2 linked regions of the Oryzias latipes genome follow. The protein of the gene in region 2 purifies or fractionates together with the protein of the main gene of each other region. This does not show direct contact. Links are inferred from orthologs where the notes say so. Each region holds a gene or a part of one and is shown on either strand. Other genes may lie near its edges.

The links. Proteins that work in one complex are often made in the same cells at the same time.
Region 1: the proteins of pex1 (region 2) and pex26 purify together in Homo sapiens (affinity purification with western blotting; 3 studies listed by BioGRID and IntAct, with this or other methods). This does not show direct contact. The link is inferred for Oryzias latipes from reciprocal best matches to the Homo sapiens genes PEX1 and PEX26.

Annotation. Positions count from the first base shown.
Region 1 is NC_019881.2:17,756,549-17,763,985, forward strand, and holds pex26 (peroxisome assembly protein 26), read right to left. Parts: upstream 3,817-7,437; 5' UTR 3,681-3,816; coding exon 3,481-3,680; intron 2,714-3,480; coding exon 2,573-2,713; intron 2,257-2,572; coding exon 1,934-2,256; intron 1,847-1,933; coding exon 1,706-1,846; intron 1,604-1,705; coding exon 1,497-1,603; 3' UTR 1,101-1,496; downstream 1-1,100. Other genes in the region: llph (protein LLP homolog), read left to right, coding at 4,396-4,612, 5,039-5,202; hematopoietic lineage cell-specific protein, read right to left, coding at 5,841-5,974, 6,050-6,118. UniProt on the Homo sapiens protein: Peroxisomal docking factor that anchors PEX1 and PEX6 to peroxisome membranes. PEX26 is therefore required for the formation of the PEX1-PEX6 AAA ATPase complex, a complex that mediates the extraction of the PEX5 receptor from peroxisomal membrane.
Region 2 is NC_019869.2:21,758,835-21,766,324, forward strand, and holds the start of pex1 (peroxisome biogenesis factor 1), read right to left. Parts: upstream 4,082-7,490; 5' UTR 3,988-4,081; coding exon 3,880-3,987; intron 3,241-3,879; coding exon 3,094-3,240; intron 2,995-3,093; coding exon 2,911-2,994; intron 2,650-2,910; coding exon 2,535-2,649; intron 2,408-2,534; coding exon 1,752-2,407; intron 1,661-1,751; coding exon 1,541-1,660; intron 1,448-1,540; coding exon 1,327-1,447; intron 1,135-1,326; coding exon 1,028-1,134; intron 886-1,027; coding exon 806-885; intron 722-805; coding exon 589-721; intron 503-588; coding exon 406-502; intron 326-405; coding exon 155-325; intron 72-154; coding exon 1-71. Other genes in the region: rbm48 (RNA-binding protein 48), read left to right, coding at 4,197-4,358, 4,820-5,010, 5,093-5,238, 5,455-5,990, 6,082-6,144; efcab1 (EF-hand calcium-binding domain-containing protein 1), read right to left, coding at 6,295-6,345, 6,418-6,522, 6,647-6,819, 6,932-7,036, 7,132-7,290, 7,387-7,453. UniProt on the Homo sapiens protein: Component of the PEX1-PEX6 AAA ATPase complex, a protein dislocase complex that mediates the ATP-dependent extraction of the PEX5 receptor from peroxisomal membranes, an essential step for PEX5 recycling.

The sequences.
Region 1 (7,437 bases), on a different chromosome or scaffold from region 2:
TTTTTCCGTGATATTGACGTTTCTGCTGGAGTCAAAGCACTGTCAGCTGAGTCTTCATCACATCATCATCCTCGGCATCGCTTTCGTTTAACCCGCCTCTGCGCGTAAAACGAAACTTAACAGCTCCATTTATAAAGTAAGCAAATTTGTAAAACGTGGCATATATCCTATAGGAAGGTCTATAACCACAAATCAGCTGTTAAGTGTTCTGCATCCTGTTAAGAGACATATAAGTTAAAAAAAATAAAAAAAGATGGGATTTACTGCACATGCGCAGATAAAATCGAACTTTATTTATAAAAAAAACTCGTTTTAAACATTGCGTATCTCTAAGCACTTAATATTGTTGCTTTAGGTATATTTCCATTTAAAACTGTTGGAACAGCAAAAAATATTGCCCCGTGACTTCACTAAAGAACGCCTTTTTTTAATTTAACATTACAAAATAAATATTTTTTTATGAAATTTTCTGATCCTCCCAGGATTTGCTTTTATAAATCAAAACATCACACTTTCACTGTCATTTTCACCTAAGGGACCCACTCTGATGAAAATGGTGCTTTTGAAGTTTTTGTTCTTGATGCATTTTTCTGATAACAGAGTATAAATAACGAAAATTAAGCTCAAAATTGTATTTCTGAGTATTTCTTTAATTAAATTGTGAATCTGCAGTTGACAACAAAATTCAGTTTGAAAAAGATCGTATAACATTGAAAATATGATGGGCAGGCTACAAGATCCCTGCCTGATGCATTCACTTGCAGACAAATATAATCCATGCAAGTCTTCGTTTTCCTTGTCCAAGCTGGTATCTGGCTCAGAGCCCATTAATGTTAGGTTGGAGGTGTCCTTACCACTTGGGTGTGAGGAGCTGTTAGCTAGTGGGAGAGCATGTAAACATATGGATGATGGGAAATGGGGGTAGGCTTGCATCCAAAAAGTCCTTCAAACAACTCAGAGGCTTGAACTACTACCACCTTTTTACTTTGGCTAAAAATGGCAAAAATAATTACGGGGGGGGGGGGGGGGGGGGGGGGGGCTTTGAAAATAGATCAAAAGATGATTGGAGTGGGTCCTTAAAAATAATGGACACAAGAAAATAATTGTTAATAGTTTATTTATGGCTACAATTTTAGAGGTATAAAGATTTTATTAAAAATATAACACCTAAAAGGTAATCAGTGCTCTGCAATATATTATAGCTATTGTTTTTTCAAAATTCTACATTTTAACATAAATACAGTCTACCTCCTGTTCACCTCCCTGGGTTTTACTTCAAGATTCTAACTAAATGATCAATGGATCTCTTTTAAATAAGCTGTTGACTAATAATCAAGCAATAGAATCTATAACTGCTCGTTTGTAAAGCACTTCTATAAAATCATTATTTTTAATTTATAAACGAAATTAAACAAATGTTAGAGACACAGAATTAAAGTAAAGACCTTCCATTAAACACAATCAAATTAGATCAATTCAACTAAATGTTTCCACAATTATTCTTTTTGACTGAGAGTCTGATAATAAGGTCCAAACATGGTTCTCCACATCTGTTTAAAGAGCTGACAAAGTTTGGAAATCCACATAAATGAGGACGGCGCAGCTGTAAAAAAAAATAAAAACAAGAAAGGCATTCATTTATTTCCAATCAACAGGGTATAAAAAAGTCAACAGTAACATACTGAGGAGGAAGAGTTTCTCAAACCTGGATCCAGTCTGCTGAAGAGCATGTAGAGGATAACAGCTATCAGGAAAAGTCTCCGGAGAGGGAATAAGCCAGAACCGGCTGTCAAGATTTTTCTGTATAAAAACCTGAGCATAGCTTCGAGTTTATGGATTATAGCATCTGCAAACCACAATTAGGAAGATCTAGTCATTATTTCTGCACAAGAAATTGAGCACAATGCACATTGATATGACTGAAATGTCAAACCTTTAACTGAGTTAGGATGCGCAGAAATCTCAGAAGCTGGATGGATCCCAGAGCGCAGAGCTGCTTCTCGACTTTGTTGTGCTTTTTCTTCCACAATATTTAGTGCTGCCTGTTTCCGCTCCGCAAAGGCGATGCCACCAACCTCACCTGCAATAAACTCCCGAGCTTCCTCAAAATGTCCGAGAGGCACAAGTATGTGTAGAAGATACAACTCTGCAACTGTCCGGAAACCAGCAGATCCGCAATTTGATGGACAGTTTAACCAAACACTGGCTGCTTCCTGCATCTCAGCAGCTTCACCCACCTTGGAGTACAGAAGTATGCTGCAGAAAAAGAACGGATGGAGAGCAATTAGTCTCTTATCAAAAATATTTTTTCTTCCATCTCTGTCTTTTATTAGCATTTAATAATTAGAATAATAATCCATTTTATTTAAAGCGCCTTTGAAGAAACCCAAAGACACTTTACAAAACAAAGGTTAAAATAGACATTAAAAGCACAATTTTGTGTGATATATGGTATCTATGCAGCTTCAATGCAACAAAAATGATGTAGCTCTAATTTAGGATGCTATAAACACTACATAGGAGATTAAATTCCTTTTTTCCTTGACCTAATGTATTTCTTATTATTTCTTACCACATCTGCATTATTTTTGCTGGTATGTCTTCCTGGCGCTCATACTGCTGCAGAACCCAGGCGAGGACTCCGTGCCAGCGATTCAGCTCAGCCAGCGCCTGAATCCCCAAGATGCAGAAACCAGTCTTCAACTCTGTACATCTGCAAAGTCAAAAAAAAAGGAAAGAAAAAAAGAAATCAGAAATACCCCGTAAGGTTCTGTTGAAAACTGTGTTTTTTGTGGTTTAAATCAAACGATGATCAGAGTGGGACTTTAAAAACATCTCATCCTGCCTGCCTAATGAAGAAAATCTGGATAAAACCTTTGTTTCCTCCAAACTGAACTACTGCAGCCTTCTCTTCATGGGGATCCTCAGCAGGAGCCTCCAAGAACTATAATACAACTAGAACTGTGCAATCACAATCATCGTGAGCAGCAGAAAATATTAAATCCCATAATCACGCCACTGGCTTCTCTTTCCCTGAAGGAGTCAAATGTCCAACAAATGACCCCAAACCTTTATCAGGAGAAAAACTTTTTTCCCCATAATCTTTAAAGCTTTAGGAACCCATTATACTTACATCTTGTGTTTTAATTAAACGTTTCCTTTGCTTTGTGACACATAAAAAAGTGCACCAAAAATAACCCTTACCATTGAGTAGGCTATTTGAATGTACTACAAGTATACTAAGTCTATATAATTAAAGGCGAGGCAGTATACTTTAAATGTACTTTTTTTTAACTATCTATATATTATAAACTTAAAATGTTCCAATTTAGTCTTCCAACACAACACTTGCATGGTCTATAGAATACTTTCTAAACTTATACTCAAGTATTCTTAAAAAATAAGCTTCAAGTGTACTACTTTAAATAAATTTCAGTTGTAACTTTTTCCATCTTAATTTTCTCGTTAAATGAGGGTCACCTGTTGTCCTCCGTGCCAGCGAGCTTTTCCAGACCTCTCTGGCACGTATCAAAAACAGCCTGGAAGTCTCTGTAGACCATCATCTGCTCTGCTGCAGAGTCGAGCATGTTTATCATCTGTAGTGCAGCAGAGGACGGCGGAGGGGAACTGCTAACGGAACCGAAGCTGCAAGGCGTCTGTCTGCTTGAGCAGCTGCTCATGACTCCCAGAAAAATGTGTGAACCCCGCAAAACCTTCAAATTATTTTTATCCTTCGACCTGACTAAAGTAAATCTACGATTAGTGAGGGAAATGGACGCTCACGCCGTTTGTTTACAATCCACAAATCTCGTTGAACTTCCGGGTTTGAAAAATTGGCCAATCGGACACTAGTTTCTTCAAAGTGGTAAAATGAGCCAATCAGATGGCAGCTTAGTGCAAGTCGTTTTTTCCAAGCCATTCCTGTAAACACGTGCTGTGTTTATGTCGCTACTATAAAAACTTCAGGTATTTTTCACAATTTGATGTCTTTTTGATTTTGCCCTTAGTGTACAGAATATAGTTCACAACTGTATTACCTTTTATGCGTAAAAAAGTTATGCGTTTTGGTAATTTAGAAGAGAAAAAACGTTGTGTTTTAGCTGTTAGCTAGTATTAGCTGCTTACCGTGTTAGCAATCCAGCAAGCTAACAAACAACTACTTTAACCGTTTAACAAAATCTTGATTTTAAACTAGTTAAAAGCATTTTGTGACAATAACTTATTTAGATGTGCCTGTTTTCTTTAACCTCATCATAATCCAGCTTCTATGTTTTATGAAGTTTCAGATGTTATATTAAATCATGCAAGGATAGGCTACAAGAAAAAATTAAAGTTCTCCACAATGTTTGTATTTACCAAGTATTTTCTTTTTCCTTTTAGAAATAGTTAGTAAACATGGCTAAAAGCCTCAGAAGCAAATGGAAGCGTAAGATGCGAGCGGAGAAGAGGAAGAAAAATGCCCCAAAGGAGCTGGCTCGACTTAAACAAGCTCTGAGTAATGACAAAAAAGGAGAGGTGGACATGGCTGACCTGGAGGAGATTGCTACTGTGGTGTCTCCTGATAAGATAAAGAAGCAGACAGATGTTGACATGGCAGAGGACGCGGCTGAAGGTGAGTGGATTGATTTCTGTTCTTTAAGTGTGGCCACAAGTTTCCATCCACTTAAAGACGACTAGTACATCCATGAACATTTTTGTTTTGCTCGTCTGAGCTGGCATGTGACTCAAAGGGAGTGTGAGGGGCTGTAAGCTAGCAGTAGAGTATGTAAACAGAGAGCTCTCAGCAATGGGGAGGGAAAAGGGGGCCAGTTATTCCACCTACAACTCGGAGGTCACTTTCTAATGAACGACTGCCACTCTGCAGAAACTATGTACTAGAAAGCAGTTTTGATGTTTTGGCTATAAACGACAATCATAAATAAAAGACCACTGGGAACGCGTTGAAAATAGATTAAAAAAATGTGGGTGTTTAAAGTTGGCATGCCTTAGTGCTTTCGTTTTTGTTGTACACAGCTCATCTCTGCATTTCTGTCCTTAGGATTGAAGATGGACACAGATAAGAAGCGCAACAAGAAAACCCTTTTGGATGAAGACGGACGGTACCCTGTGTGGATGAACCAACGCCAGATCAAGAAACTGAAAGATAAACGCATGACAAAGAAAAGTGGAAAGGGCAAGAAGAAGAAGGGAATTGCCTGGTGAAATGGAGTAACTGATTCAAAGACTTTTGATACTAAATTGCCGTGTCAGATACAAACTTTCTGCTGCTGTGACTTCTTTAGTGGACTGTCAGAACTGTTGCTCCACCATATTCCAATAGGAACCTTTTTATTTTTGAGAAATGTGTTCCTATGTAAAAACAGTATGATTTACGTTCACAGTGGTTCCTATAAGAGGATGAACAGTATTTTCTGCTTGTCTACTTCCTAAATTGTGTCAAATATTAATGCAAACAATAAATACCATAAAACAACTTGTGTAGAAAGTGCTCAGTTTTCTTTATTTGGATCATTTCAGATTTTGGAGTTACAGTGGTCCCTCGTTTATCGTCGGGGCTACCTTCTAAGAATAACCCGCAATAGGTAAAATGAAGTATAGGATTACAGATGTTTTAGGGATAAATCAGTGTTAAAAAAGAAAGGCATGATGCACAATTGTACTGGAAAAAATCTGCTTAACAGAAAGATTGTGAAAGGAGAACTGCAATATATAGATGGACAGATGTACTCATTTCTAGTTGGATACATTATGAGGATTGATTTGGTGCATTGGTACATAGTTGCCTGATTTCTTCATATCCGTACAAGGAGTCAGCGTTTGAGTGTGCAAAAAAACAAAGTTTAAATCAGCTGAACGTAAGAGGCGGGAAACAAGCCGAAGTGACCGTGACACTGTCCCTTCCACCAGCCTTCGTCGATCATCTCTATGTTAGTGATAATGTCATCTGGATTGAAGGAAATCTCATCTTCTGCCTCTGTGGAAACAGACATGTAACAACACATTTGTGAACAGATCATAGCACTTTATGTCTTGAAGTGAATCAACATACCTCCCTGATAGTCATAAATCGCAATCGCCTTTTGGCCATGAGACAAGTCTTCATATTCGTTCTCAACTTCTGTTTAAAAAAAAAAAGATTATTATGGATTATTTCAAACAATTAAAAGAAAAAATCCTACATATATATTAAACAATGATAAACTGTAACTTAACTTTAAAATTAAATTTTTTTAAATAAAACAAATACACCTGCGTTTATATACATCCGCATACAAATGTAAGCAATGCCAGTATAATTAGTTTTAATCAAAAGTAGACCTATATGTCCGTAAAGATACAATACATGACACACTGAATCCAATAAATGTGAAGTTTGTCATAAAAAGTTTATTTGTTTCAAAAGGAGTGAGAGGAAGCGAACGTATAACATTTCACCCCCATGCTCACTCTCGGCCTCCCACCCCTCACATGCAACTGGATTAACAACTTCCTCACAAACCGAACACAAACTGTGAGACTTGGCCCCCACCACTCCTCCACCCGCACACTGAACATTGGGGCCCCACAGGGCTGTGTGCTAAGCCCCCTGCTGTACTGCCTCTACACTTATGACTGCAGTCCGGCCCACAACAACAGCTGCATCATCAAGTTTGCCGACGACACCACGGTGGTCGGACTCATTCCCAGGGGGGAGGAGTCTGCCTACAGAGAGGAGGTCCTGAAGTTGACAACCTGGTCCTCAGAGAACAACCTCACCCTTAACACCAACAAAACCAGGGAGATCATAGTCGACTTCAGGAAACATGGTGCGGACCCAGCCCCCCTCCTTATTAATGGGGAGCATGTGGAGAGGGTCCACACCTTCAAGTTCCTCGGCATCACCATCTCTGCAGACCTTTCCTGGACAGCCAACACCACCGCCATCATCAAGAAGGCTCAGCAGCGTCTGCACTTCCTGAGGGTCCTCAGGAAGAACAAAATTAGCACCAACCTGCTGCTGACCTTCTACCAGTCATCCATCCAGAGCCTGCTTACATACTGCATAACTGTTTGGTTCGGCAGCTGCACGGCCGCGGATAAAAAGAGACTGCAGAGAGTCGTAGAGACAGCTCAGAAAATCATTGGGTGCCCTCTCCCCACCCTGATGGACATCTACTCCGCGCGCTGTCTCACTAGGGCTCAAAACATCATTAAGGACAGTTCACACCCCGGCTCAGACCTGTTCAACCTGATGCCCTCTGGGAGGCGCTACAGAGGAATCAGAAGCAAAACGAACAGACTAAAAAACAGCTTCTTTCCAAAGGCAATAACCATCCTCAATTCCCAAATGCACGGATGAAAAAAAAAAACTAAAAAAAAAAAAACATTCCTGTTTACTCCAACTATCTACCTCATTGCCACCTCTGCACTTTGACATGTCTACGCACAGTTTTTTCA
Region 2 (7,490 bases):
GCTCGTGCTGGTGATAATCAGGCACACCAGGCTGGAGCGAACCACAAATTCGTCCACAATGTCCCGCAAAGCTTCAAGCACAAAAATGACATCACAATGAAATATGGAAATTTTTTCAAAACTTCAAATCACTTTCGTCAGTCTTTGGGTTTACTTTGTGCAATGTGCGCTTGCAGCAGCGCCTCGGGGCCGCTGTCTTGCTCAGGTGTAGTTGGGGCTCGGGCCAAATAATCCAAGTCATCAAGCAGGACGACAGAAGGCTGCCTCCACTCTGCCTGCTCAAAAACATCCTGAAGAATCTGTCTCACGGTCTCAGCCTTTTTGCCTGGAAGATGAAAAAGAAAATGCACATAACTTCCTAACATTTCACCGATTATCTCATGTTCTGCTCGGAGAATCCTTGACCTTGAAGCTTTTTGCAGTCCACCACCTCTACATGCGAGTCCAGATCCTCTCTGGCTTTTCTGCAGAGGCCTCTGGACAGAGTGCTCTTTCCACTTCCCTGTGATTACAGTGAGTTGATCATGTTTGTTCATCTATAAATCTGAATAAACACTTAAAATGTCTAAAAAAAAATGTAAATAATACCTTTGCACCAGTAATAAGCAACGCTCCTCCTTGCAGACCCCATCCTGCTTTTCCGAGCTCTCTGGAGAGGGGGTTACCCACAAAGCTGTGGGAAAGGAACTCAAACCCAACCCTAGCGTGCTCACCAACCCCACTGAGAAAGGACAACCAAAGTAAGAGCCAAATGCAAGAACAAATGTTAGCTTGAACAATTACTACAGTTCAAAAAAAAGTTTACCCAAGACTAAGAAGAGACGGAAGCTCAGGCTCGGGTGCTTCAGCGCTGACAGCCGGCACAGTCGCTGGCTGTCTGTTTACCTGAAAGAGACACAAAGTGTCTATAAACAAAATTTAAACAACTGGAAATGCACAGTGTCCTTAATTCCACATTTTGTTAGAGAATTCTGAAAAATAAGAAACATTTTATATTATTGCAGAGTGCGTGTGTGCATGGCGGTACCTGTATATCTTCCTTGTGCAGAACAGTGGGTGACAGAAGAAAAAGCTGGTCTTCAGGATCACTCTGCAGCTCTGGTTTTAGCACAGTTAAAGCCATCTCCAACTTAGCTATAAATAAGAAAAGAAAATTTAAAATCCAAGAGAATTCTTCCTCATTTCTCACATACCTCTAATTTAGTTTTTTGTTGCGACTGCTTTTACACTTTTAAAACTCCTAAACTGAACTTTTTTAAATACTCTTCCACAGAAGAGTTCATGCAACGACACTTGTTTATCTTATGAAGATAAAAATTAAATCACCGTCGTTTCCATGCAGGAGGATGGTACCAGAGCGGGGAGTCAGACGGCCCAAAGGTTCGTGACTCTTTGTGTGTAGCCAACCCAGAAACACTGACTGGATCTCTTCATCATCCTCTTCAGGCTGACAGATAAAAAAAATGCAGTTTGACAGATTGGATTTTGGATCCGAGGTTTTTCTGAATAGATCCGATCGTACACTGATTGCAACTCTCACCATGGCATTTAGAGGCTGCAGGCCTAGTTTGATGGCTACTTTGATGGTGGATTTGACAGGCTTAATTCGAACAGCCGAGTGTGGTCGGATGCTGATTTTGCTCATCAGAGGATGTGGGATCTGAAGAAACACAATTTTTGTCAAATATACGAAAAGTATCTTTAGAATTCAGGACTAAGATGTAAGTGAATGAAAGTATTTCCATACTCACCCATACTTTCCCACAGTAAATCTCCCCTTTACTGTGACATTTGTCTTTGCTTGTCAGCATCTCAGTGCCGTGGCATATCATCCTGACAACCACCGGTTCCTGTTGCTTTATGCCTTCATCTCCTTTGTCAGTTAGTTGCTCTTCTTTAGAAACGCTGTTCTTCTTTGAGGCCCGCTTGTTTTTCTCCCTGGCTTCTTTAGGGGACTGAACTTTGGAAAGGAGGCCGTATGTTACTGCGGACTTGCTGGAAATTGAAGAGGAGTTCCATGGAAATATGTGAACAACACCGATCGCAATGTGGCTAATAGTGCAAAGAGAGACTGGAGGTGAATTGCACACTCTGTAGATGGCATCAGGGAAGAAAACCGGGATGTCAGGTACAGGCGGCAGCTCCTTGACCGCGTCATACCTGCTCGTTATTAAAGTGCGGAGAAGGTTTTTCATGTTAGCAATGCCACCTGGGGAGTTACTGTGAGGGACATGGAATGAACTCTCTGCCGATGACAGAGAAGAGGAGGAAAACGTCGGGTTTTGCTGAGGAGGATACCATTGACTCTGGCTGGATTTGATGCCAACTCCAGCACCAATCTTTGGAGACACTACAAGCTCTGTGAATTGCTCAAGATGACCAAAGCGCACATGTGGTGAGAGTGAAACTGTGAGGAGGAAAAAACAAACCAAAGCACGTTTACAAACCAAGTAAAAATGGTTAGACGTAACTTTTTAAAATAACTGACTGTTTGACTAACAGACAAACATTTTGAGTTGGATAACAGCACAAACCTATCTTTATGTAGATGACTGTGTGACTGTCCACCCAGACGGGAAACACGGCATCTAGGAAAACCACTCGGATCTGATTCAGCAGTTGCTCTTCAAGTGCAGAACTGTGAAGCTCCTGGAGATGTCAAAACAGAAAATGAAACTGCTTAGCCACAAATGTTGTTTAAGCTCCCCAAACCAATAAGCAACATCATGATTGAGCAGTTCTGCACTGAAAATGCAAAAAGAAAGAAAGAAGGGAAAGCTAAAATGACTAACTTTTATTTTGATAATTAGAAATGAGTTTTAGAAGTTGATTATGTTCTCAGGAGATTGATTTCATGATAATGTATAACTGCAATTAGACAAATTACACAAAAGTCAATATTTCACTCACCAAAATCTCCCAGTCATCAGATGACAGTGGCTCCACAAACACCTGATTCAGCGAAGAGACTTGATGGCATGGTCTGAGAAAACACTGTGAAAACCACTCAATGTCAGACCAATGTTAAGAGACTGTTGCACAGGCAGTGTTCGTCCCAGTTGATGACCTAAAGGAAGAAACCAAGGTCTTTACCTGTTCTCCATCAGTCAAACCGAGCTTTTCTCCAAGCTGCCGAGACAACTCCACTCTGTGGCTGTCTGCTCCTAAGGAGGCTCTGATGGGACACCAGCTAAGGAACACTGTCGACCCGCCGTCCCAAGACAGCTCCAAAGCCTGATTCTAAAACGGACCGGCCAAAGAGAGACGATGAAATAAGACACAGAATGGTCTCTTAAAGCGGATGTCGAAATTATGATTCCAACTTTATGAATGTTAGATACTTGTGATACCTTTATTAGTTTTTATTCTTGTACATTTTGTATCATTACATACATTTCAGATTTTATGCTCAGCAGAAGAATTAAATTAAAAAATTGCAAAAATATTCCACAGGTGTGGTAGCAAAATATAGAAATATTGAGATGATCACATTAGTTATTATAATAATCAACCTTTTCTAAATTAAACTATTTCTAGGAGTTAATGTGTTAAAAATCAAAACAATGCAGTTTCCTTTAGACTAAAGACCCCTGAATGAGGACAGTATTTGATGCCCAATTTCTATTTTTACCAACAATTCATTTTTTGTTGCCTTGCATTACTTCCTAATACTAATTAAGTACACGTGATAATAAAAAAATGCTCTGCTTTTGTTATAAGTTTTAATTAAGAAAAACTAAAACCTTAAATGCAACCAAAGGTCCCCTTGTAATGTCAGAGAAACAAACCAGCAATGTGTAAAACACAAAAGCAGTCATTATTCAGTAAACTTTATGCAACAAAACTGAAGCGATGTTAAGTAATTAGCTAATACTTTACCTCATTCAGAGAAAGGTGCGATATCAGCTTTGAAGAGAGTTGAATAAAGCAGTTTTTAGTGTTGTTAAAAACAACACATACTGGTTGAATTCCCTGGTTGCTAAACATGACGTTTACATCGCTATTTTAGCATTTAAAGTGCTTAACATGCTGGTGCGCTAACGGCCAAAGTGCAACAAACATTTCGATGAATGAGAGAACTGATCCAGACAAAACAGTCGATTGTCGATGGAATCGATCATTTCAAAATAAGACTGCCACGTCGTCAACACTACACGTTGAGTGCTCTGCACAACGGAATGAACTCTTGTTTTGAAATGCCACCAAAGCGGAAACGCGTTTCAGCAAACATGGCGGCAAATGTCAACAGTAAACCTGGTTGTTGGAAGGTCCCAGAAGTCTACAAACATCACGAACAACACAACGCATGTTTTTCTAGACCCAAATATAGAGATGGAAGGAGAGCTAAAGCAGTCAAGGTAAGAAAAACGTTTCTAATGTTTGTAGCAAAGACGGTCTGTGTTGACGCAAGCGACGAGCTAATAATTATGTGTAAGTTGGTTTTATTTTTACATTTAAGAATGTAAGAGAAAATTTTAAAATCTTTTTTTTTAACTGGAAGAAAAAAGTATAAATTGTAGTCACACAGCAAGTGATAAATAAAAGACCAACGGCAGGTCTTAAAAAAACAAATAAAACTGTCGTTTTGGCAAAAATAAATAAATAAAATTAAATAAAAGACATGGTAAAAAGTTTGAGTCATTTCGAAAAAATTGTAATTAATAAACCATAAAAATCAAATTTCTAATACAGTAGACTGGATTTCTGAGTTGCAGGAAAGTACATCAGATCTGATGATTATGTCTTTAAGTTAATTGATTTTTATTGGTCACGTCAACAGCCTCACATATACTAATAACCATGCCTTTGTATCTGCCAGGTCTACACAATAAATTTAGAGTCCCGTTATGTGATGATCCAGGGAGTCCCCGCTATTGGAGTGATGGAGGAGCTGATCCAGTTGTGTGCTCTTTATGGAACAGTGGAGGAATACAGACCGCTGGACGAGTATCCTGCTGAGGAGTTCACAGAAGTCTACCTGGTCAAGTTTCAAAAACTGACAAGTGCTAGGTATGGCGGGCACCTTAACTGTACTGCCCTAAACCAGAAATGCTGAAAAATATGTCATTCAGGTTGATATTTGATGTTCCAGAGCGGCGAAACGTAACATGGATGAGAAGAGTTTCTATGGCGGCGTGCTGCATGTGTGTTACGTCCCGGAGTACGAGTCTGTGGAAGACACCAAGTTAAAGCTGCAGGACAGGAGAAGTTATGTTCTGAAAGTGGCTCGGAGTAGAGGTATTATCGCATTTTGACGATATACGGTGTTGAAAAGCACTGAATCTTTTTTTTCTTAGGTAATTGTTTTTTAAAAGTTCAATGAAAAAAAACTGTGATTAAAAAATTTTTTTTGTGTATTTTTATCTGAAATCAAATGTTTTTTGTTGTTTTGTAAGTTTAAAGTATAGATAAAGAATTTGATGAGTGTCATTTATCTGTTTCATGTTTATACAGCAAAAGAAAGAGTAGCGGATGCGGTACACATGGAATCTACGTCTTCAGAAAGCGTTCCCACATCAAGCAGAGTTTTTGCTACAAATAATCCAATCTTCAATAGTGACAAAACAGGCGAGACTTCAAGCTTCAGCCATTGTTCCGGATTTCCTCTACTGCCTTTACCCCCGCAGGAATACTTTCATCAGGATTATCGTGGGAACGAACCAACAGAAGATCAAATGGGGACTTTACATGACGCAGTGCCTCCTGACGTAAAACAGCAGAAAGTCCAGAACTTTAGCTCTTTCAGTAAAGACCCTAATTCCGAAAAAAAATTGGCCTCCAACCCAGATTCTTCCGTCAAGCTTGTTCCAAGAACTGCACATTTGGAAAAGAACAAACGCCGCAAAATGGAGGAGGCCACAAAACAGCCAGTGCCTGATTCTGGAGAACCGTCTTTGATTGGACCAAAACTACCAGAACCACATAAGCTGGACATGAATGATCAGTCGCTAAACACAACAGTAAATCTGATCAGGGGCACAATGAAGCAGGTAGTCTTTTATTTTTTTTTTAATGAGAATTAGAGCTTGACATGATGCCATATTGGTGCATTTCAGTCTCATTCTTTTCATTCATTCCTAGGTGACATCGGTCCCAGACCTCAAACCAGCGGAGAAGAAGGTTAAGCCACGCCGTCGGATATGATCCATTCTGTTTTAGTGACGACTGTCCATATTTATCAAAACTAACGTTGAAAGGCTCAACTTAAAATAAAATTGTACTTTAAGAAAAACATTTTGGCTTTTTCTTTCATGAAAGTCTCAAAGTTGAACACCGCTTGCACTTCATATTTTATTATTCATCTTGCTGCTTTTCCAGTACTTGCTGCTCAAACTTCTTCTTTGTCTAAAAAGAAAGATTTAAGTTAAATAGATCCTTACAATATTTTTAAGCTCAGCAACTTTTGGTTGTGATTACCCTGAAATTGGGCAGGCAGCTTCCAAAGGCTTCAAGGAGTAGCTCCTCCTTTTTTACAGACTTCTCAAAATCTTGAAAAGACAGCCTGCCGTCTTTGTCGTGGTCCTGTGGAATCACAGGAAGCAATGTTGGCATGTTACCAAAATAAATCTGCACACATCAAGACAAAATTCTTACAATCAACATCGATCCAAATGTGACAAAGGCAGATGGGAGGGCAACATCTCACCATTTTTTTGAGGACAATTTCCATCAGTTCGTTGATCTCATCCTGTTCATCTTGATAGTCGTCTTCTCTGCCTTCCTCTTCAAGCCGCAGATGGAAACTGTCCTTCAGCAAGAGAAAAATGTCGTCTCTCGTGATAAATCCGCTGCCTTTCAAGTCATACATATGAAAGCAGTCTGCAGGGGGGGAGAAAAGACAGGCCTTATGGGCTAAATATGTGTGCATTCCCTCATTTGTGTGAGAAGTAGTGCTTAAGAAGCAGGAAGGAACATGCTGTGGGGAACTTGCATTTCTTCTGTTCATCCAGAGTGCCCCAAAAATGAACAGACAGTCCCTGGATCCATTCTTCCACAGTGACAAATCCATCATTGTCCTTGTCAAATATCCTGAAGACTGAGAAGGTTTGATAAATTGCAGACACTTTTCCAATAGTAGGACAGATGTAGCAAACTTTACAATGTAATACTTAGGCTTGTGACTAATAGTACCTCTATCCATGATGAAGTCGTCGGTCATCTCGAACAGGTTGTGTAGAACCACTTTGAACTGGTTTCTGTCCAGACCCGAAACCGAACCATCAGAATGTTTCTGCGCCTCCAGAAGTGCATTGAACTTCCAGATAAGACATTCCACCTCTTTTTTATTAACTTGAAATGAAAAAGCTCATTTAAACATCATGTTCTGACTGTTTGAATGGTCACACGAATAATTAAAAGTTTAAATGTTTTTAAAATTATACTCACAGTGTTCCACTTTTTTGGAGATTGTTTCCGCGAGGGCCTGTATCGCTTTTTTACTGGCTGATGACATTTTTAACCAACTTGCATGAAATGGAGAACCGTTTTAT